4 linked regions of the Canis lupus familiaris genome follow. The protein of the gene in region 4 interacts with the protein of the main gene of each other region in a biochemical or structural test. Links are inferred from orthologs where the notes say so. Each region holds a gene or a part of one and is shown on either strand. Other genes may lie near its edges.

Region 1 (6,212 bases), on a different chromosome or scaffold from region 4:
AGGCCAAGCTGCGGGGAGGGTGGTGAGGAGGTGAGGGGGGCTGGGGGGGTCACTGAGCTTTGGTCAGTCCCAGTGTGGGGATGGTGTGAATTGGCCCCATCACAGGAATAAACTGCAAGATTCAGAGTCCTCACGAAACTCTGTGACGCTCACACCCCACTAGGCGCCCGTCTTCAAGGCCACATTTGTGTGGACACAGCTGGTGAAAATTCGTCTCCCCCACCCCCACCCGCAGCCAGGCAAGGCTCAAGGCCTCAAATAGACACCGGGAGGCTGGACGCAACCATAGCATGGCATTTCCAGGCAGGTTTTAATCGTTTTCAATACCTTCCCCGGTTCTTTACATCAAGTCCAATGGGGTTCTTTTCATACATGACAAATGTTTCCATTTATTCGGCATATGTCAATGTGCACAGCACATACATCACAATAGGGCTCAGCACCTGTATAAAACTACAGACAGATCCTGCAAACCGCGGAAAGTACAGAAACCTTAGATCCCATCACGACAGTAGAAAACACTTTGCAATATTGCAGAGGTCCAATGACATCTCTATACGCTTCCCACAAGGCTCGCTGACTAGCAAGTGGCCAAGGATCACCACATTCTGCACTTAAGACATCTTCATTCCTGACAATCGGATTGGGCTCTGAGATGAGACATCGTGCCATCATCCCAAGGCAGCTAAGACTTAGGAAGCGAGTATTTGAAATACCGAATGTCCACACATTCCAGCCCCGCCCCCTCCCCCCCATCAGCACCGAGACCTGGGAGCATCCCCTCTGCTCAAGACTCCTGGAGCCTAGGACGCAATTTAAAATTGAAAACATTTTTTATTTCACCGCACGGACGGGGACGGCCGGTTGAGATGTACAGTCCAGCCATCAGGCTTCACGAGCGGCTTCCTTCCTCCTCCAAGGCCTTGGTTTAAGGACAGTATTTTAAGTAGATGATTTGCATTCGAACAAAGAGTTTTAAAAAGGAATGTGAAAGACACAAACTCCAATCAGCCTTTTCCAGTCTTGCTGTCTGTAGACTCCCATAAAGTTAATTTGGGAGGTGGTTCAGAAACATCCTAGGAGAGCATTAAAGTCTTGACAAAACATTCGGAGCATTTCTGGTAGCGAGCTAAGGTCATTTTGTATAAACTCTAAAAAGTCATTCATTAAAATTAAATGTTTGCCATCACCTCAGGACTTTTTTTAAACATCACCGACCCTGCCTCTTCCATCTTTGCTGCAGCGACAGGGGTTACATTTGTAAAATATATAAAGAAAAATATAAGGTTACTTGGTGACCATATAGTGCACTCTAACAGCTGTCTGCAAATATTTTCACCATGATTATCCTTACTAAAAGTAAATCACGGGGTAAAGATAGCTCAAACGTGACAAGGTTTCAATGGGACGCACCGACGCTATCTGCAATCCTCTTTGGCTACATATGGAAAAAGAGCCACTTGGGATAGGGAACGCCTGCGCCGGGTCTGAGCTTTCTGCAGATTTCACCAGATGAGTGGGTTAAGGGTTTCGAGGTAGATGTTAAGTCCACTTCATCAGGTAATGCAATGGAGAGAAGCGGCACCTTCCTCCATGCAAACACTGCATTAAGTGTTTTTGTACAATGACAAGGACATTCCATCTAAAAAGAACAGCTAGTTCTAGCTCAAATCTTCCCAGGCACAGGGAAGCACATTAAAACAAACAAACAAAATCTATATTCTATGACTTATCAGAAGTACCAGCTACCACAAATTGTATTTTATCACTCGGGCTTTGGTTGTGGTTGCAAATATACCCATCTATCCACTTCCAGCTTTTCAGCGGGAGATGGGTTCCTTTCCGTCGGATTCACAAAATTGCTTTGTTTTTGCCTCTTCCTCAGTGGCCACAGAGAAACATGGGCTGTGGCTGAGCCAAAAAAGGAAAACAGGAGTTTATAAAGTTGTCTAAGAGTCTCCCCCATCGGGGAGATGGAGGAAGATTGACTACAGAAAAGTTCAAAGGTCAGTCTTGGCAGATCTAAAAACAGAGTGACAGTGGTGCACTCCCACAGTGCATTTTCTGTACCCGAAGTAAGGCGATATGTCCCGATGAATAGCAACAGGGCACAAAGGAGTGGGGCGCCGGAGGATGCTAGGAGCAGAGCCAGGGCTGGGAGGGTCCTTAGCTGGCTCCATGGCCCCAGGAAGGCCTCTCCAGACACAGAGATGCTCAGCACCACAGTACAAGGGACCGTGCAAAGCAGGGTTGAGACTGGAGTCTGACGTCACCGTTTTTAAAAACACAGAGTAGCAGCACACTTGTGACAACTTTTTGACAAGTTAAATAAATCCAGTGGAAAGGTCTTCACCGGTCTTACTAGAAAACTCAGGTTTGGGTTTTTTTTTTTTTCTTTTCTTTTTTTTTTTCTCCAGAAAAATACAAAACACACCCACAGAACCATAAATAATTTGGTGGCGATATATACACATTTAAATAATTAATTTAAATATCTTACACCTACTCTGGCATTAAATTGTCCATCTGGAGAAAGTCTCCTGAGCATTGGGAAACTGAGGCAGGATGCCTGGAGTCACAGCCTGGGGAGGAAGTGGGTGACCTTCATGGTGGGGGACACTCGGCTCCCTTTCTTGGTCTTCCCGTTCTTGCTCAGGGCAATGAACATGCCCGGGTACCTGTAGCACTCGTAGGCATTGTAGTTGTTGGGGAGCAGGATCTCTTTGAACTTGCACTCCTCGGTGAAGAAGGGCTGGGAGGGAGAAGGGACAGAGTCAGGTGGGGCCACCTCCTGGCCAAGGAACCCTGAGGGTCACTTGTCAGGGGCTCCTTTCTGGCCAAGCCCTGATCTGGCTGAGAGAAGTTGAGGTGCCAAGACCCCCATAGGGTGAGAAGACCAAGGTGACCAGCCCACAGCAGTTGGTGCTCCAGCCACCTGCTCAGCACCTGGCGGCCAGAGAATCTCCTACCAGAGACTGCAGTCCTGCCTGATGGAACCCACCGGAGAGAGGCTACAGAGAAGGCCTGGTATTGGCACCTCTTAATGGACTAGGAAGTGCCACGCGGGGATGGCAGAGACCTCATTGTTCCTGTCTTGGGTCTCTGCCCCTTGTTTGGACGGCCTGGGTCACCCGCACGGCCGCAGAGTACTTGTGTTTGGGGGGGAGGTGCCAGTCCTGTGACCCACCAGTCCCACGATCCGGGCTCCAGGCATACACAGGCCGGCCTGGAAGACTCCGGATCCTCCCGCGCTGCCGGGTGCTCTGCTGGCCCTCGCGGTACTCACCGAGCCGTACAGCTTGCCCTTGCTGCTCATGGCCACGAAGAACCGGCTGGCCACGCCGAAGATGCTCACCACGCCCCGCTCCACCGGCGAGAGCTCCAGCAGGCCTGGGGGCGGGGCGCGGGTCACTCCCGGGCAGGGGACCCTGGCCCGCCCCAGCCGTTCCGGAACCCCCTCGGGCCGCGGGCCACCGGGACCCCGTTTCTGGGGGCGGGGGTGGATGTAGAGGGGCCCCGGAGCCCGGCGTGCGCGGGTGCGCACTGGCTGGCCTCCCGACCCGGCCCCGCGGCGGCCGCGCCCAGTCCCGGGCAGCAGGAGCCGGGTGGCCCCCAGGGTCCCCGAGCCGGGCCGACCCGGACGCGCTTCTCGGGCCCCGCGGGCGCAGGCGCTGGAATTCGGCACCCAGAGCCGGGGCTTCCGAAGGCGGGGAGGCGGGGCCCGTTCGCCCCGGTGCGCAGAGACAGTCGCCGCCGGACTCCGGGGCCGCGGATGCCTCTGTCCCTGCGGGGGGGACCGGAACCGGAGTCCGTCCCGGTTCCCACGGCCGCCGGCAGGTGCCAGCCGGGGCCTCCGCGTGCGGGTCGGAAGGGGCGGCTGTGCCCGGGGCCCCCACCCTTCGCGCCGGCGCGCCCCACTCACTGTCGCTCGTGTCCGCGTGCACGCCGCCGATGCGGCCGTCGGGGAGCACCTGGAGGTGGAAGCCGATGCCCACGTTGCAGTAGAGCCGCCGCAGCCGCTTGATGCCCAGGAGGTAGTCGCCGGCGCCGCTCTGGACGGCCGCCTCCTTGGGCTGCGCGGCCACCGGCAGGCGCGCCAGCGAGCGCACCACCAGGCTCTCCCAGCGGCGCTCCAGCTCGGCGCCCAGCGTGCCGTTGGGGGCGGTGGGGGCGGCGGCGCCCCCGCGGCCGGCCCAGGGCGCCAGCACCGCCAGCAGGACCGCCGGGAGCAGCGCCGCCGCGGCCGCCCCGGGCCCCGCCATCCCCGCCCTCGGGCCGTGCGCCCGGGAAGCCGCGGGGCCGAGCTGCGCCTGTGGCGGCCCGCGGGAGCGCACGGCCGGGACTCGGTGCGGAGCGCGCGGCCGCAGGCGGAGCGGGAGGCGAGGCGCGGGGCCCCCGGGCGCCGGGGCTACCCGGGCTGCATGGAGCGGCGGGCGGCGGGCGGCGGGCGGGACGCGCGGCCGGGCTGGGACCCTGCGGAGCGGTGCGCGCCTCCCTGCGCGCTGGGCCGGCCGCTGCCGAGCCGCTATATATAGCCGGGCGCCCCCTCCTACTCCCGCGGGGGGCCGTTCGCGCTCGCCTGGGCGCCCGGGGCGCTGTGGCGCTCGCGGCCGGTCGCAGGCCGCCTGCCAATCAGGGCTGGGGGAGGGGAGGCGGCCGGGACGAGCGCCGCTAGTGCCACCTGGAGGGTCCCCGGCCCCCACCCCGGGCTCCGCGGGCTCGCCGACCTGTTGGTCCCGCCCCTCGCGTCTCCTGCGCCCCTGCCTTCCAGCCGAAGTTTTGCCTTCCGCACTTTGTCCCTGCGGTCTCCTTCTCGCCTCTGCCTGAGCCGCTTGAGTGCTGCGCGAAGCGGGCACCCTCAGGGCCCAGCAGCCACCCCTGGCGCCCGGACTCTCGGGGACTCTCCGGAACCTGGTTCCTTTGCTGGCACCATGCAGACCCGCCTCGGTTTGGGGGGTAGGTTAGGGTAACCAGTAACGCGAAAGGTCGGAGGCTGGGGGCAGGTACGTGTCCCCTGCACTGGGGCGGATGCAGAGATGGAGTTCTGCGAGCCAGGTAGAGGCATCCCCCAGCAAGGTGCTTCCAGTGGACGCTGCTAAGGGAATGCAAGGCGGTTGAGGCGGTGGGGGTGCACCCAGGAGAGGCCACAGCCTTGCACCTTCTACATGCTGCCTCCTCCATGCAAGGACAGGTGGCAGGGCTCAGGGCCATACAGGACATTCACGGCTCCCTCCCCTCTGATTCACAGGAGGAATAGTCAAGTGCTGTAGCTGGAGGCCCCCCATCCGGTGGGGACCCAGGCCAAGCCTCTGGAGCACCACACTCTAGACATCTGCTGTCACCACTCCCCACTGTGTGCATTATGGCCTGATGAGGGCCGGACTCCCCAGAGGCCCAGCTAGGTGCTGGCTCACCTAGGTGTGAAAATCCCTGTTTTCTGTGGTACCTGAGGAGCCTTGCTGCCATCTCCCAGCAGGTCCTGCCCAGCTATAGCTTTGGGGGGGCTTGGAGCCCACCCCAACCCCTGCTGCCACCAGCGCTTGTGACCAGAGACACCCCCAGGCCATTTCCATTTCGTCCTCTCTCACCTCCTACCCCATTCCTGCAGGAGGACCCCTTGGATCAAACCTCTGAACTCTGCCAGAGCTCACTCACCCCGCTGGAGGTGACCTGGGAGATTTGATGTTTCTGTCCTGAAACCCCGGGGGCAGGGAGGCTTGGCAGGACCAGAACCAGGTCTCCAGCCTCTCCCACGAGGCTTGTTGCTCCTCTCTGTGCGTGCCGCCTGCTGGAGCAGCGCCCACCCAGGCAGGGGCCTTCCTGGGCTGTTGGCTCAGGCTGCTTTGGGGCCCCTGGACCCTCCAGATGAGACTTCAGATCTGGATCATTCTGGGGGGGGCACAGGTGTAGGGGACTGAGAAAGTCCCACAGTAGGTGTTCAGGAGGTGTTCGCATGAATGGCAGCCTGGCTCGGGGCAGCTCGGAGCCCCCTCTACCCACAGACACTCCCGTTCAAGTGGCAGCACCCAAGCCCTTGCTGCGCCTGGATGCTGAGGAGATAGCAGTGTCGGGGTGCCAGGGAGATGGAAGGGTTGGAGTGCCAGGTCCCCCCATGGAAGCTCCACACTGGCTTTTTTTCTCTTTAATTTGAAGCAACAGATGCACCAAGGTGACTAATGTTTGCAGATCCAGCCTCCTTGAGGACTTGAACC
Region 2 (5,778 bases), on a different chromosome or scaffold from region 4:
TTTTAAGTGCTCAAGTTTGAGGCAACTGAGTGGCACAGTTAGGCATCTGACTCTTGACTTCAGCTCAGGTCATGATCTCAAGGTGGTAAGATCAGCTCCGTCAGGCTCTACACTCAGCATGGAGTCTCCTTAGGACTCTCTCTCTCCATCTCCCTCTGCCCCTTGTCCCAACTCACTCTCTCTCTCTCTCTCAAACAAATAAATATATCTTTTTAAAAAAACCCTCAATTTTGCAGCATCTAAAGCTTTAGAAGCCATAACATCAAGTATGTCCACCATCTTCCCTACCACAAACAAAGGAGGCTAAACAGAACACTTATGTTTCTGTATTTTAAAAATGTTTAGGGGCACCTGGGTGCCAGTGGTTGAGCACATGCCTCCAGCTCAAGTCATCACAGAGTCCTAGGATCAAGTACTGCAATAGGCTCACTGTGGGGAGCCTGCTTCTCCCTCTGCCTGTGTCTCTGCCTCTCTCTGTGTCTCTCATGAAGAAAGAAAGAAAGAAAAGAAAGAAAGAAAGAAAGAAAGAAAGAAAGAAAGAAAGAAAGAAAGAAAGAAAGAAAGAAAGAAAGAAAGAAAAATAAATACATAAATGTTTAACTGGGGCACCTGGATAGCTCAGTGGTTCAGCATCTGCCTTTGGCTCAGGTCATGATCCCAGGGTTCCAGGATCAAGTACCGCACTGGATTCCCCACAGGGAGCCTGCTTCTCCCTCTACCTATGTTTTTGCCTCTCTTTGTGTATCTCTCATTAATTACTAAATAAATAAAATCTTTAAAATATATACATATATGAAACTTAGTGATTTAAAAAATTCAGAAAATATAATAATAGAAAACTCAATGATGAGAATCAGCAGTTGCAAATCAAATCAGCTCAGGTATACATATATTTATATAAATGCTTAACCTCATACACAATAAAGGAAAAAACAGGATGGAAGTTGACACCTATCAATTTACTACAGAAGCTGAGATAATTATTTATGCACAAATGAGCATTATGTGCATGACTACCCTGATAGGGCACTACTGGACCAGATAGGGGCTGCTATCAGACTGATGCTATCCCCTCTACCCGATGACAAATAAGTGATTTTATCACATTAAAATATTTGATATTGATCCATCTTTTGATTGATCTCTACTATATTAATACAATAATTTGTGGTCCATTATGATAGTTGGATAGACTCAAAATGAAAATAGGGATGCCTGGGTGGCTCAGCGGTTGGGCATCTGCCTTCAGCTCAGGGCATGATCCCAGGATCCAAGATCAAGTCCCACATTGGGCTCCTCGGACGGAGCCTGCTACTCCCTCTGCCTATGTCTCTGCCTCTCGCTCTGTCTCTCATGAATAAATAAATAAAATCTTAAAAAAACAAACAAACAAAATGAAAATAATAGTTGAGCTGGCCCAGCTGGGAGCTAAGGTCACATGTATTTCTACTACCAGCTACCAAAAATCACCTGAGCAACGGCTTATAGCCTCAACTCCAGCACTTGTGGACTGGGAGTAGGACCAGCCCATCCCAACCCATGACGGGGTGCTGCTCCCTGAGGGAAAAGATGGCAAAGACCTAGCACGAGCAGAAAAGAGGAGGGCAAGGTGATCTCCCCCACTTGGTTCAGGTCAGTAAGAAGACAAAGCCCAGGCGAGCAGGACCCTGATGGCAGGTACTCTACAGACTGGCAAAGGTGATTTGCATGCAGACTGTCTGGCTGCGTGTGTTTGTCCTTGCAAAGCCAAGTGCTAGGTACAACTCAGCACCACTGTCCTCTCCTGAGAGTGAGCAAGCAGTGTGAGTCCTGGTCAGGGATGTGATTAGACAGTCCAGGTGCCTAATCAGCGAAGACAGTCACAGAAAGCATCACAGCAGGCTGTGGGGAGCCCTTGTGGCTCACATGTTCTTACCTGGTGGCATGTCAGAACCCCCCCCACCCCCCCAGCAATGTGGAAGCCAGCCTTCCTTCAGGGACTGCTCAACAGAGCAAGGGGGAAATACCTACATGGACTTATATATATTTTCAAAATAACAGTAATATTGTCCTAGGCTCACTAGGCAAAAGTCACCGTCAGGTCAAGAGTCTGTTTATTCTATTCCTGGTTAGCTCTCCAAGAATCACCTGTCTCTGCAAAAAACCCAAGTTAAGAGCTACTTTATAGAAGAGGGACTTCAGCACTTTTAAAAAAATTCATCATATTTAGTTAAGCATAGGTTTAAAACGTGAGTCTCTTTTAATAATTAATCATTTACGCTGGCCCTTTGTAGAATATTTCCCTTAGTGTTGGTGAACCAGACATATTTGAAATTCATACGGACTCTTCAATGCTTTTAAATAAAAAGCATGTTTTAATTTATATGGCCTCTTTAAAACACCCTCCTTTTAAAACACTAAGGGTTTTTACAAATGGGTTTTCAACAGTCATTCTAAAAGCATCTTATTTTTATGGTAAATGTGAATACTTAAATAGTAAGTGATCTAGAATAACAGAAAAGGCTTCTTAATAGTAGACTTTAGAAAAATTAAATGCTGTTGTTTTGCAAAAGTGATTTTATGTAGTTTATGAGAGGCATGAAAACAGTAAAACTTTAAATCCATTAAGACATGTCACCTGATAAGACGGGGAAGGGGCAATTATTTTGAATTTGAGTCGTAATATTTATGCCAGGTTTCCCAAGACCCTATGCAAATACAAGGAAAACTGGGAGGACTGTACAGATTCGAGAGACAGTAATTCCAAGTGAGCGCCAGAGGAAATGGGCAGGGACGTGAGTTCTGGGAGACTAGAGCCGTTGTGATAGTAAGAACAGACTTCTGAAAACAGCACATCACTCAACACTGGCACTGCTGGCAATACTCTTTTATACGGTTTAAAAATAACTGACCTATATTTGGGAAGAATATATACTTGGTGTCAGGGAAAGAGAGACGGAGGGAGGGAGAGATGACTCTCTCTACTTGTAATGAATAGTGCCTAGTGATTGATTCTATCTCACTCTTCATAGAAGACCCAAAGAACCAGCAAAATCTTGTCTCCCGGGATACTCTGATGGTACCCAAACCTGTACGTAACACAACAGAATGGGTTTGCTTTCAAAGAACCGAGTCACAATTCCCAGAAGAGGGAAGTAGCCCTTAGCATCAAGGAGTTTAGGGCTCTAGAAAGTGTCTGTACATGAATGTAAACTATTACATCTGCTAAACTGTTTGGTAAACTGCATCCCCGTCTTTGGAAGAAAGCTATTCCTCCATCTGGGTTCTCAAGACGCTAATCAAAATATTTCAAGTCCGTACAATGACACTTCTGTTCTTGGATTCTGCCAACAGGAAAACCACAAAACCCATGCGTTTGTTATGCGTTTTTCAAGGGTGCCCCACGCCCAGCCTATTTTCCAAGGATTTAAATTCAATTTGCTCCCATGTCCACGGCGCAGCTTACTTGACTTACTCCCCGTGCGGAAAAGTACGAGGAAGTTCGTGAAGTGATGACCTTCCTAAACGTTCGCTCTAATAAGAAGGACTTGCCCCGCCCCAGAATGAGTGCATCGTGGCTGATCTGTATGGTCCAGTAATATTTTCAGAAGTTTCCGTGTGTCACAGTGTGTTTTCTGACCCTTTTTCTTCTCTTTCTTTGATTGACATCCTTACACACTCACACACACACACACACACACACACACACACACACACCAGTGACTCTGTGAGGTTCCCGTCACATCAGCTCTCCTCCTTACCTTTGTATAGCGTCTTGGGCACCTGACAGGTGTGTCCACACCCGTTCGAACAACACTTCTTAACCCCAGAGCACTCGTTGTCAGCTTCACAACTTTCCACACAGGCGGCGGCAAACCCACTGGCTTTCTCCGGGGCTGGGCAGTCGCCCTGCTTCACCAACAGGATGTACTTGAGGAACTCACAGCTTGTCAGGCATTCATAGTTCTTCTTGGGGAAGAGAGGCTAAAGAGAGAAGAGGAAAATTTCACTTATTTTTTAAGGATTTTGGTTTCTTTAAGTGATCTCCACGCTCAACGTGGGGCTCGAACTTACAACCCTGAGATCAGGAGTCTCATGCTCTACCGACTGACCCAGACTGCTCCCTGGAAAGAAAACTTATTAAAGATACATGATGCTTGATTTCCAAGACACTGGAAAGGAAGGTAAAAATTCTTATTTGGTCAAAATTTCCCCAGAATGTAATTCTTTTTAATTGAGAGAGACAGCGAGAGAGAGCATGAGCGAGAGGAGAGGCAGACAGAGAGAGCAGACTCCCCACTTAGCTAGGAGCTGGGTATGGGGCTCAGTCCCAGGATGCTGGGATCATCACCTGAGCCGAAGGCAGACACGCAACCAACTGAGCCACCCAGGTGCCCGCCCTGGAATGTCTTACGAAATAAATGTATTTGCTTTCTTTTCCTCCTAAAGAACTAATATTTTATGCTAATTTCTAAAAGGAATCTGACCCATGAGTTATAACATTATCCTGCAAGCAACAGATCTCCTCAGTTATACATACACACGTTCAACAAAGTATGACATTCTGAGTTAAATGTAGTTGTCAAATAATTGATTAGAAATATTCATGAAGCGTCTCTACGATTTGAGGGCCCCCTTTGGACTACTGTAGACATACACAGATTTTAATTCTTTAATGAGTCATTCTGTTTACGTGTTAAATGCTAATCACAAGGCCTTAGCTGTAGGCCTCCGGGAACTTTGCAATCCTCACAGCAGTAATATTTGCTGATATCTTATCAAAAAGTAATCTTAGCCTCCCTTAACTGAACATATTTTAAGAATATCCGGTTTCTAGAGCTAATGTGCAGATGCAACCACCTATCAATACGGAATTATCAATAAACTACGCAGTGAAAAAGATGAATCGTCGTTACCTGTGACACAGCCAGGTTCTGAATAGCCTCTAGCTGATGATATTTCAGTTGAACCCAGAATCAATCAAACTGATTGGTCGCTGAGCTCTGTGGTCACTGAGCTTTGCAACTAGTGAGAACAGGTATTCCTGGATTTATTTAGAGTCGCATTATGGAAAGAGTGTGAGTAACGGAAAGAACTAGCTATCAAATGCATCTTTCTCCTTGGGAACACAGGTTCAGGACAGCATTTGGTTGCCACTAGAACATAAGAAGCAATCGGAGGATATGGGCTTCTTTCTGCCGCACAAGTAGGGAGCTGCTGAGGATCCTAAAAGCAGCCCCACCCCCAGGGACAGAGGGAAATGGCCTCACGCTGCGGCGTCCCTTCGCCTGGCGGAGGACGGCTGCCAGGGCCCTCACTATCATCCTAACTTTCAGCCTACCCCTCCTTTGGCCTGGACAGCTGGTTGCCAAGATTGCTACCCACATCCCAACCGAGCCCCCTACACCCGCTTTCACCTGCAGCACACCTGTCCAGCCTGGCAGATTCCCAGCCGCCCGTTGTCCCCTCTGCAGCGGTGCCTCGTGGTCGCGGAGCTTTGCTTTGTGAGCCAGGCCTGCAGGCCGTGGGTATGGCGCCCCCACACCCCGCTTCCCTCAGCTGCGGGACGCAGGCAACGCCACAGGCCTCGGTGGTGGCGGAGCCCAGGGACCGGGAAGCCGGGTGGCGCGGAGCACGGCTCACACCCCGCCCGGAGGCCCCTGAGCTGCCCCTCCCCGTGCACGAAGCCTGAACTGTCAGGGGCTGAGACAACTCAGCGTGCCCCGGGCGACGCGGACACCCGTGTCTGAGAGTGGCTCCGGGGAGGGCCTGGCGGCTCTTGACACCGGAAGCAGGAGA
Region 3 (5,778 bases), on a different chromosome or scaffold from region 4:
TGAGTAAAGACTGCTCATGCCCTGCTTTGTTGTTGTTACTGTCCTACTCTTACCTACATGACTCTCTTTGCAACTTTTGCTGCAGTATTACTTCCATGGTGGAAATGTTCTCTTGATTTCTTAAAGCTCTGGTCAGTTTTCCATGTTTGTGGGTGTTGAGCCCAGGACAAGCTCCGTCTGTTTGACAGTCATAGTTCGGCTGCTGGCTGTCACTATTGGCTGAACCTGTGTTCTCATTGAGATAACCAGAAGGGCAGGGGGTGGACCTCGAACCTTTCTGCCTTTGTCCTATGTTTGGGGCAGACAGGAGTGACAAACAGATCAAGTCAGCCCTTCAGAGATACTTGCAAGGATGCTCTCGATGCCACTAGTTTAGACTGATGGGTTAATTTTTGTATGACTCATGGAAGTTGCCACTGGTAGATACTGGGACAACCCTGTTAGCCCACAAGAAAAGGGGGTCCCAGGATCCAGGGACCCTTGTTGTCATCTCTCACTAATGTATGACATCTCCTGAACCAGTCAGCCTTACAGACTTACAGTCAGGTGGATGTTGAGAGCCATGGGCATCTGGGCACTACTCTGAGAGCAGGGTGGCCTTTGCAGAGTTAGGCAGTAATGATTTTGCTCAGCTCTCTGCCTCCTTGCCAGCTGTAGTGTTCCAGCTTCCAGATATGAACCTCGATGGGGCTTAAATGCCTGAGATGGATTAGTTCCATTAGTGATGGTCAGAGGGACTTCTTGGTACAGATCTGCAGAGACTGCCCCATAAGGCCCGTAGGCCTTTGCTTTTGAGCTGCCCAGACTGTGTGCAACTTTGCAATTCTGAGTTTCAGACTTCCAAACCAGCATTGTCAGAAGAGCCTGAAACAGGTGTTCTTCCATTCTTTAAAGACTCAACCCCATGGGACGACAGATGCCATATGCAGAGCACTCACCTGCCGATCTCCACAGAATATCATATGATGGAGATAAGAGTGTGGCCCAGCCTATGAGGAGCAAGACTCCTTCTTCAGATTACCAGCTTTCTTGAGGATCTGAACTTGGGCAGCACGCCCAGACTTTTCCTAGGCCAGCAACCATTATACATTTTAGATGGTCAAAGCAGGAGCCCCTTGGAAATATTCCAGTTCCCTTTGCCTAGGGATCATATGCTTATTGCCCTTTTGACCAATCACTATAATTCCAGAGACTCAGGAAGCCAATTATCATATCAAGGGCTAGAATATGGTGGTGACTGCCTGGGACTCTGTACCACTCTCCCCGGAGAGGGACCCAGTTACACTCACTTCCAGCTCAACAGCCTCTCATCATTGAGTTGTTGGACTTTCTCTTGAATGAAATTGTTTTCTTTTTAAGCATTCAGGAAAGTGAGGCATCTGCAGAAATATAGGTTTCTTGTATAATTTCTTGCATTTGGCACATTCGGATTTCCCATTACGTGCACATGCACCATGGAACTAGCAGATGGGCAGACTCCTCGAAGGAAAGCATAGGATACAGGTTTCCCAGAGTCTCATGAAGCAAAAGCTGTTGCTGCTGGAATCTCTGCTGGCCGGGGCTTTTGCTTCCACTTTAGACATGCCAAACAAAGTCATCTTGGGGGACCTTGGTTGTCCTTGCCCCAAACCAATCTTGGCACAGAAGCTAGACTGCTTAACATAAACTGAGTCCCATTTTCTATTTGGGTTACACTCAGGTTCCTGTGGTGCTCTCCAGAGCCTCCCACGCTAGTCGGTGCCTTAAGTGAGAGACGCGGGCACAGATTGGGGAAGAGGATGTGAGACTGGCCGCAGACAAGAGATGGCCCAGTCTCCTACCCTCAACCCTGCCTCGGGCACTGACGCTTCCCCTTCCCTCCTGGCAGACTCTGGACGGGCACATAGTGGTGCGTAGCCATGCCCGCGTGTCATCCCTGACCCTGAAGAGCATCCAGTACACAGACGCCGGAGAATATATTTGCACCGCCAGCAACACCATCGGCCAGGACTCCCAGTCCATGTATCTGGAAGTGCAATGTGAGCAGTAACTGTGGAAAAATGTGGGGTGGGGGGGACCCTGCAGGGTCAGGATGAAAAGGGAAATGAGCAGCCAGGACCTGAGCTGCACGCTACTGCTCTGCTCATGCTCCCTGTGGCGGTTGCCCTAGGCCGGTCCAGAGCTTTGTCCCCAAGTTGTCCCAGGCTCCTTACAAGCTGATGAGCCCTCCTATCTTCCCACGTGGCTCACAGGACTGCTGAGCCAGCCTGCCCTTTACTCTGCCCCGGCACTGGCTCTGCTTTGGGGCACACCTGCCCACCCGGGGTTAGGAAGCGGGGTATGCGGGGCTCCTCTCTGGTGCTGGCCTTCCTGATGGGCATTGCTGTCCCTCGCAGATGCCCCCAAGCTGCAGGGCCCCGTGGCTGTGTACACTTGGGAGGGGAACCAGGTGAACATCACATGCGAGGTGTTTGCCTACCCCAGTGCCACAATCTCGTGGTTTCGAGATGGTCAGCTGCTGCCAAGCTCCAACTACAGCAATATCAAGATCTACAACACCCCCTCCGCCAGCTATTTGGAGGTGAGTTGGGGCTGGAGCAGGGGAGGGTGGAGAAGACACAGGCTGCCTATGGATATGCAGCTAAAACTTCCTCTCTTGCTTCTCTGGCACATCTTGACTAGAGGAGCCAGCAGCTATGGAAGAAACGGAGCCTCAGCCCGGCCCCTTCTCTCTCCCAGGGCCAGGTCATGGCCTGGGGGACCAGACATGCCTCTCTCACTGGCCCCTTGGCAATTCTCTCTGGCTTACAGCTGGGCTGGAGCTAATGGTTCATGCTTTCCTGTTTCTGTTCTTTACAAATTAATCCAATAAATAAAGATCTCTGTTGGTGGCCATTCCATGGGACACTTAAAACCCAGAGTTCCTTCTCTCCAAAGGTGACCCCAGACTCTGAAAATGATTTTGGAAACTACAACTGTACTGCAGTGAACCGCATTGGACAGGAGTCTTTGGAATTCATCCTTGTCCAAGCAGGTAAACACCCTCTATGGCCACACTATCCTTACCCTTGCTGGCCTGTCCCATGCCCTCTGATGACCCCAGGAGAGTAGAAAGAAGAGGGCCAAGGTAACCAAAGACAGGGTCAGGAAGCAGGGAGCCCGTAGAGGCTCAAGGTTGTGAGCACAGTGGTTGTTGGGAATAATCCTATGGTGAGCTGGGCTGGGGGACAGGATATAGGCGACAGGATTCCCATGAATGAGCAGAAATGAGAGACATGCTTCGTGACTGAGAGTTCTGTCCTGGACCTAACCGGGCTCACCTGGGTTTCCATCTGTGCACCCCCCCCCCACAGACACCCCGTCTTCACCATCCATCGACCAGGTGGAGCCGTACTCTAGCACAGCACAGGTGCAGTTTGATGAACCAGAGGCCACAGGTGGGGTGCCCATCCTCAAATACAAGGCTGAGTGGAGAGCACTGGGCGAGGAAGTGTGGCATTTCAAGTGGTATGATGCCAAAGAAGGTACGTGGGGAAGAGTCGGCATTTCCTTTAGAATGATGGGTTGCTCGGGGTTGGGAAGACACTCACCCTGAGTCCCGGCACCCTGAGCACCTGCTGGGGTGGCGTGGCACACCGTGCTCACCTGCTGAGGATGCCACATGCCAACACTGCCATCCGTTCTTGTTCCTGTGCTGCAGAAGCATCCCTGTGCCTCTAGAATTAGGGCACGGTCACATCTCCTCTAGATTTGCTGGCCTTCTATCCCCTGATACCTCAGAACCTGCTTCTCAGGACCGTACTAAGAGGGATGAGGCCATCTCAGCCACGTTCCAAGCAGGAGTCATGCTCAGGTGTGGCGCACAACCAGAGAAGCCCAGTCCACCCCTGCCCTGCACCTGTGGGCTCCCCGGGCAGCAGGTTCTCTGCCATCACCCATCCGGTCCTGCTTGGTGTACTCGGAGACTGTCATGTAACTGTGGTTTTAACCAAATAACAAATTGCCAGAGAGAAAAGTCTGCTCTTAAATCTGCCTGAGATATTATTTCCAAACTAAAAGTGTAAACAATGACCCTTGGATGCCTGCAGTCGGAAGATTCAGAGCCCAGACCATTTTGCCCTGAGGTTTGAGTTTATAAATGTACCTGACTCTCCATTTGGGGTTTAATCAGGATACGTCAGTGAAGTATGCTTTGTTCCTATAGAAAGTTTTAATCCCAGTCCTGTATGTGGTAACAGGGGCAACCACCTTCTGACCCGGTTTTACTGAGAATTTGTTTCACCAGGAAGCTTCCATCACTCCTTCAGCTTTTGGTGTTGGGGGAGCAGCCTGGGAGGAATTTCTGTGCCATCAGGACTGGAGCCAGGAGAAAATAATCTCTTTACCTCCCTAACTTCCCTCTGAAACCTCACACCAACTTTACGGCGAGTTGGTCCCGTGTTAACAATCTGTCCAGCTGGCTTTTTTTTTTTTTTTTTTTTCCTTTTTGCCATTGCTACAGCTGGATTTCCTCCCCTTTTGTATATTTTTGTAGTTCAAGTATAATTAACTTTCTGGCTCTATTTTTGTTGTAGCAAAATACGTAGACTATGAAATTTACCATTTTAGGCATTTTTAAGTATACAGTCGAACAGCGTTAAGTACATTCACATTATTGGGCGCAACCATCACCACCATCCATCTTCAGACCTTTCTCGTAATCCTAAACTCAGCGCCCGGTAAACACTAACTCTCCATCCCATCTCCCGCCCTCCCCAGCAACCACCCTTCTACCACCTGTCTCTGTGTAGTTGACGATTCCGAGTACCTCCTATGAAGGAATCATGTAGTAGTTGTCCTTTTTTGTGTCTGACTTATTTCACTTACCTGATGTCCTCGGGCTCACTGCATTGTAGCACGTGTCAGAGCTTCATTCCTGGGCAAGGCCGACCGATACTACTGTATCCACAGCACCTTCGGTGTATCACTCACCTGCTGATGGACACGTGGGTTGTTTGGCTATTGTGAGCAGTGCTACAGTGAACGTGGGTGTCCCGGTATCTGTTCCAGTTCCCGCTTTCAATGCTTTTGTGTACTTACCCGGACGTGGAATTGCTGGATCACATGGCAATGCTAAGTTTAATTTTTTGAGGACCCACTGTGTGGTATTCCACAGCAACTACGCCGTCTTACCAATAAGCTTTCCAAACCCCTTGTGATCCTTCTCGTATTCTCACCACAGCCAACATGGAGGGCATCGTCACCATTGTGGGCCTGAAGCCCGAGACCACATACGCTGTGCGGCTGGCGGCCCTGAATGGCAAGGGCCTGGGTGAGATCAGCACGGCCTCCGAGTTCAAGACACAGCCAGTCCGTAAGTACAAGCAGCACCCTGCCTCTTCCCACACCCACCCTCTTCTCCTTGGGAGCAGAGGCGCCCCTGAGCCGCCCCATCCTTTGTTCGGATGACAGCTTCTTGCCTTTCAGATTGCTCTGCTCAGGGAGGGCTCACCTCCTAGCTCCTTGGCCCTCAGTGATGGCTGATACCCAGCCCCTGATGCTGTCTTTCCCAAAGAGCTTGGTGACCCTGTCACAGTGATAGCTGGTCCCACTTGTTAGCATCACAGCCAGGGCGGCAAAACACCAGCAGCTCCTGGAGGGATTTGGGAGATTTCGTTTCTTGACACAGGTCACAAAGGCCCTAAAGCATCCTGTGACTTGAAGGAAGAGAGGAGGGTTCCTATAATGAGGCGTGGGATTTTTGATGCAGCAGAGATATCACGTTATAGGAAAGAGGAGACCGCTATGGGATGTAAGTGC
Region 4 (5,778 bases):
AAAAAACAAAACAAAACAAACAAACAAAAAACCTTAACCAGTTGGATCCGAAGGCCACAAGGCTACCTACACCAGCTATCCTGACTGATGTCCCTGAAAACCTAAGACAGCACAAGCAGGTGGTGCTACAGACGTCTATAGCCCAGATTCAAAGTCATACCTTGGAGGACAAGGAAGGCTCAATTCCCACCCCAACTTCACCCAAGGGAACCTTCAGGTACCATACCTTCTTTGAGGCGAGATATTCCATGCCTCGGGCCACCTGATAGGCGCAGGATACCAGGTCCTTGGAGGAGAGCTGCTCCTCTGGGTTGTGGCTGGGATTGTAACAGTACTCCAGCCCAGGAGGCCTCCGGGCCTGCAGGTACTCCCGTAAGTTGCCTTTGGAAGCATACTCCACGATGACATACAAGGGACCTGGGAGTGTGAGGAAAGAAGGGCCATCAGGGCGGGTGGGCAGGTGCCCCGGGCCAGCCTTACCCTGAGGAAGTCCCACCCCCAACCATACACCACGTGTTTGTTCCCCAATCCTAACCACCTTTAGGGAGCCTGGGTAGTTCATCCCCAGAAAGCCAAGGAAATGATTCTTCCCAGAATACTCCAGGAAATTCCCAAGAAAAGCTCGGGGGGGAGAGGGGGGGCGGGCAGGAGGAAGAACCCTAATTTAGATCACACGTGGTTCTCCCCCCCTACATTGTATGAATCTATGTACTTGTATTCTCCGATGGGCGTCCATGGGCATCAGCTCAGACGCTAACTACTGCTAAACTGGCCTCTCCTCTTACCTTCCTTCTTCCTTCCCTAAGCGTAGCTGAGATGCCTGGTCACTGCTTATCACACTGCCCCGGCAGGCACTGCTATCTGAGTGGGAGGCCCAGGTTCTCAGCTGAGACTGTAGGCCAGCCCGGGTGGGAGAGCAGGCCTTGCTTGGTGCCTACCGTCCTGCGTGCACGCCCCCAGCAGGTTGATGATGTTCTTGTGCTTTCCGATCATCTTCATCATCTCCATTTCTGAGATCAGGTCTGACAGGTCTTTCTCTGTAGCATCCGCTTTACACACAAACCAGAACACAAGACTCATTTACTTGGAAGGGAGGCCAAGGAGGGAAGCAAAGGGGGAGGGGATGGCATGTATGCTGGAGAAGGCCCTGTTCTCCCGGACTTGCTTCTCTCCTCCCCATTTCACACCCAAATCGACAGTCCCTTCCCCCTTATGTGAGCTACTGGCAATAGGTGCTCATGTGCAGGGTGGAGGACAGGATGAGAAAAAGCAGCTAACGATGGGATCTGGAATAAACACCTGACTGCACCACAGCCCAGATTGATGCCAAGGGACAAAGTGAGATGGGTAAGAATGCCCTTCCCAGGCAAGGCTAAGCCAGCCATGTAGCGGGTGTGGACAGTGCCAGGGCACCGGAGAGAATGTTCTACATGGCCCAAGGCCCAGAGTTTGCTTGGGAAAGGAAGGGATCGTTTTTGCAAGGGAGAAACATCACTTACACTTCAACATCTTCACGGCCACTTTGGTCACACGGTTGGGTTTGTCCTTGTCCAGCCCAATGGCTTCTGCCAATACCACCTGCCCAAAGCAGCCCTCTCCCAGGGGTTTGCCTAAAACCAGCCTTTTGGGGAAAAAAAAGGTGGTGTGAGTTGGGGCTGATACAGTTTCAACCTTAAGAGGACATCCCATCTCCACCCCTCCATATTCTATCCAATTGAGAGCAGAAAGCATCAATTGTTATTTCTGAATGCATCTGGTAACACCTTCGGGGGGTGGGAGGACAGACTTCCTCAGAGGCTGACAAAGTATCACCTGTCTCGAGGCAGTTCCCAGCGAGGGTCTTCGGGAAGCTCATATTCAGAGACCCCAGCCAGCATGGGTGTTCCACTTGAGGAGAGACGTGAGGGCCGAACCAGCAGAACCCCAGAGTTCATGGATGCACTAGAATCGGCCGACACCTGCAGGGAAGTGTGGGGTCACCCTTCTAACGAGGATGGGGTTGGGGGTTGAGCAGCAGCAGAGTCCTGCCATTCCTAGTCAGGGCTTTCCACCAATGGCAGAGGTATGCATCTGTTATCTGATGTTCTCTCTCCAGTACAGAGTGGCAGGAAGACCACAAGAAGTCTGAAGACCTAAGTTCTAAAGCTGACTTATTTTTGCCATCAGCTAGCTTTTCACTTACCTTTAACACAAGCAGACCAAATCTTGCTCTTCCAGACCGACATATAACCTATCATCGCAATCACAACTCTATCCTTGTTTCCATTCTTTGTGAAAACTCTGCCTCAGATTATGGATCCCCCCACCCCCTTTTATTTAAGATTGTATTTATTTGGGAGAGCGAGCAAATGAGAGCACCAGCAGGGGGGCAGAGGGAGAAGCAGTACTCCTCGCTGAGCAGGGAGCCTGACATGGGGCTTGATCCCAGGACTCTGGGATCATGACCTGAAGTGAAGGCAGAGGTTTAACTTACTGAACCACCCAGGCGCCCTGGATTATGGATTCCTAACTCCCAAAGCACCCTCCAGAATTAGCACAGCTCTGAATGAATGTCCCCTCCTTTCACACGCCTTCACCCTCTGTTCCATTTCCTTGGATGAGAGGAGGGTGGCATCCTGAAGAGGGAGAGGCCTCCTGGCACCTGACTCAGGTCCTCTTCTCCATCTTTGTACCTCTAACTGGCCCTCGAGGACTGTTCAAAAGTACAGGATGAGTTGCACATCAGGCCTGTCTAGGGCCTTCTCCTGATCCATGTGCCAGGTGAATAGGGGGCCTGCAGTTGGGGTACGATGGGCAGACTGAATTCATGGGCAAGCATAGCTTGGAACCCACCTTGGGAGCACTTAGGACATTCCACCGCCCCTGGCCCAGAAGCTAGAAAGCCAAGCTGGTTGGGCACAGAGGAGAGGACAGGGCATTCAATGGTCCTGGAGGAGCCCTGGGGGCCCAGGGAGAGAAGGTGGTGCAGAGTGTGCAGACCCCCTATCTACTTTCTGTTACCTGTCTGCGCAGAGGGATGCTCTTGGCCAGCTTGTGCACAGCCATTTGGCTGTGGAAGTCGCTCTTTTTGGTGCCACTCTTCATCTTGTAGATGATGACAGAGCCCACCATGCAGGAGATGAGGAAGGCCCCTGTGCAGTAGATGATGATCTCCAGGTATAGGGGCGAGGTCATCGCTGCTGGCCTCTCTTCCAGGGCTGAGTCAGTGTGGACAGGGTGTTAGCAGGCTCTGGGGGCCCAGCTTTATAAGAAAAACCACCCCCATCTCCTGTCCTCTGAGAATTTTCAGGGCAGACAGGAACCAAGTTAGGTCCCAGCTGGGACCGAGCTCTGGCACCAAACCTTTGAGTCTTCCTGATCCTGACTCAAATCCACCAAGAGGAATGGACTAGAACTATACCACTACCTGGGGTCCATGCTCACTCATTCAGGAGCCCACCTTGCTCAGGCGGAGGGCTCCTTACTCAGGAGCCCTCCCAGCTGGCCTACTGGGATCCATGGGTATCAGGTACCCATCAGGGCTTGCTCAGTCTCCTCATGGAAACCTGGGCCTTCTCCACAGAGTCCCAGCACTGAGTGTATTCACCTATCACATGGGACAGATGACCCACTTATGAGTCCTTGGTCCTTGACAGCCCGTGAGCACCCCTGAGGGCCAGACTGGCACCGTGCTCATTTCCACATGCTGCAGCGCCTGGCATATTGTGACACATAACGAAGACAAGGAGGAGAGGGAGGGAACCCAGTCTGCATCCTGATGATATCTCACTTCCTGCCTATGCCATGTGGGTCGGGTCAGACATGTAAATATTTGCACCTAGCTACGCCACAGGCAAAACTAACTTCATTTCCAATCATGTCTGGACTGCTTGAGATGAGAACATAAAGCTCCGTTGCACTTGAGAATTCTACTCAGGCCCTTACTCCTAAAACTGATTAAGGAAATTGGGGGAGGAGGCATTGTCTTATCCTTGTCCTCCACCTTCCATTTGGAATCTAGCCTGGTTCCACAGAAGCCCATCCAACTCAATCTACCCATCCCTTGCTCATGAGAAGCTGGGAGGCTTCCCAAAGGCTCCATCCCCACCAGTGTGAATGCCCCTCTTCCTTGCATGGCTTTCTCCCAAAGACACCAGCCAGCCAGCCAGCCAGCCAGCCAGGGGACCACACCCCACCCCCCTGCCGAGAGAGGTGCAAGGTGTGGCCCAAGATGGAACCCAACGCAGTCCCCAGCCTGACAAGGAGACAGCAGAGCTAATAACAAGAGGAAGTGTTTCTGTTTTTCTCTCTCTCTGGTGGGGACACATGAAGACAACCACGTGGGAGCACACACAGGACAAAGACAGTGACAGGGTAAAAACAGAACGCTTCTCTGCCTCAAGCAGGGTTGTTCTCAGATCCCGTGGGTCAGGCAGGGCAGAGGAAGAGAGAGGAAGAGGTCAGTGTATCAGCAGCAATAGGAGGAGCACAGCGCCCAGACCCATTGCAGGACGCTCACAAGCAATGATGAACAACCCACCACCTCAGCAGGCTGCAGGCTCCTTCCTTCCTGACCCAACTCATAGACCTTCACTCTTAGGAGCCAGAGATGATAAATGGGCACCACTGAGTCCCATGTGGCCTCCCAAGCCAGGCCTTACTTGAATAAGACTCCAGCTCACTCTTCTGGGTGAATCTCTCTTCTGAGATCAGAGGATGGGCTAGCACTGTTCCTTACAAGCAAAAAGTGCCCTCTCTACAGAACATGTCCAGCCTCTCAAGATCTCTGGGACCCACAAAAAAGGATCAGACAAGTTAGGGAAGGCTGCTGGACCCAAGGAGGGAAGGAGCCTGCCCTGCAGGAGAGCCCGGCTGCAGGTTAACCCCAGATTCCATGCATGCATCGCATGGGCTAAGGGGGAGATCCAGATGCAGGTACATAGGGGATAGGCCTCCGTGCTCCTGCAGAATGAGGACAGCTCCCGCGAGAGCTGAGAGGATTCGACACTCAAGCTCAGACAAATTGCCAGGGCCACCCACAGGCCCCTGGAGCCCATTGCTCTACCTGTCCTGGCTCTGTGTTTCCCCCGGCCCCACGATGCATGCTCCCCCCGTGCCCATGGCGAGGGCAGGACATCGAGAGGAGAAGTGCAGTGTATACCTTCCAAAACGGTCAACCATGCAGAGTGATGGGAGAGTCCGATAGAGTTACCCGCCAAGCACGTATACTCCCCCGCGTCCTCAAAGGAGACATTCCTTAAGTGAAGCACTTCCATCTCTTTGTCGGTGGTATTAACTCCGGCAGTCTAGAAGAGACAACGGAAGCAAAATGGACAAGCACGGGACGTGAGACCTCTAAAAGACACGGAGGGACGGAGGGAGGAAGAGAAGGGGGAGAAACCGGAGGAAGAAATGCTCCCCAGCGTCTCCTTTGCAACAAGGAACACACAAAAACCACCAGGCAGTGAGACCTGTTAGAGGAAAGACAGTGAGACCCTGAGGGGGGGCTCTGCAGACCTGAGACGCTGCTGGCTGGTTACGACCCTTCACCAGATGCTGGCAGCCCCGGGCCCGTCCAAGCATGCGGGCGGGCGGCGGGCAGCATGGAGAAATGGGGCCCGGCGGCGGGGGGCTGTTTGGTTTCAGGTAGACGAAGTCAGAGGGCACACACAGAAGGGGTGGAAGGGTGTTGTGGACACGCGTACACGCACAAACATGCACACATGTGTGCACACGGCCTGCTGGGTTTGCCAGGGGACTCTTGGCCCCTTCTCCTCTCCTGCCATTCAAACCTCGGCC

What was found.
Region 1: the proteins of FGFR1 (region 4) and FGF4 form a complex in vitro, tested with the Homo sapiens proteins (2 studies listed by BioGRID and IntAct, with this or other methods). The link is inferred for Canis lupus familiaris from reciprocal best matches to the Homo sapiens genes FGFR1 and FGF4.
Region 2: the proteins of FGFR1 (region 4) and ANOS1 form a complex in vitro, tested with the Homo sapiens proteins (3 studies listed by BioGRID and IntAct, with this or other methods). The link is inferred for Canis lupus familiaris from reciprocal best matches to the Homo sapiens genes FGFR1 and ANOS1.
Region 3: the proteins of FGFR1 (region 4) and NCAM1 form a complex in vitro, tested with the Homo sapiens proteins (2 studies listed by BioGRID and IntAct). The link is inferred for Canis lupus familiaris from reciprocal best matches to the Homo sapiens genes FGFR1 and NCAM1.

What each region holds. Positions count from the first base shown.
Region 1 is NC_049239.1:48,867,493-48,873,704, reverse strand, and holds FGF4 (fibroblast growth factor 4), read right to left. Parts: upstream 4,263-6,212; coding exon 3,923-4,262; intron 3,391-3,922; coding exon 3,287-3,390; intron 2,753-3,286; coding exon 2,576-2,752; 3' UTR 394-2,575; downstream 1-393. UniProt on the Homo sapiens protein: Plays an important role in the regulation of embryonic development, cell proliferation, and cell differentiation. Required for normal limb and cardiac valve development during embryogenesis.
Region 2 is NC_049260.1:5,430,472-5,436,249, forward strand, and holds part of ANOS1 (anosmin-1), read right to left. Parts: intron 3,964-5,778; coding exon 3,741-3,963; intron 1-3,740. UniProt on the Homo sapiens protein: Has a dual branch-promoting and guidance activity, which may play an important role in the patterning of mitral and tufted cell collaterals to the olfactory cortex. Chemoattractant for fetal olfactory epithelial cells.
Region 3 is NC_049226.1:19,967,198-19,972,975, reverse strand, and holds part of NCAM1 (neural cell adhesion molecule 1 isoform 1 precursor), read left to right. Parts: intron 1-1,867; coding exon 1,868-2,018; intron 2,019-2,375; coding exon 2,376-2,560; intron 2,561-2,916; coding exon 2,917-3,013; intron 3,014-3,332; coding exon 3,333-3,503; intron 3,504-5,200; coding exon 5,201-5,332; intron 5,333-5,778.
Region 4 is NC_049237.1:27,807,830-27,813,607, reverse strand, and holds part of FGFR1 (fibroblast growth factor receptor 1), read right to left. Parts: intron 5,286-5,778; coding exon 5,141-5,285; intron 3,198-5,140; coding exon 2,995-3,197; intron 1,959-2,994; coding exon 1,813-1,958; intron 1,622-1,812; coding exon 1,500-1,621; intron 1,050-1,499; coding exon 939-1,049; intron 418-938; coding exon 227-417; intron 1-226. UniProt on the Homo sapiens protein: Tyrosine-protein kinase that acts as a cell-surface receptor for fibroblast growth factors and plays an essential role in the regulation of embryonic development, cell proliferation, differentiation and migration.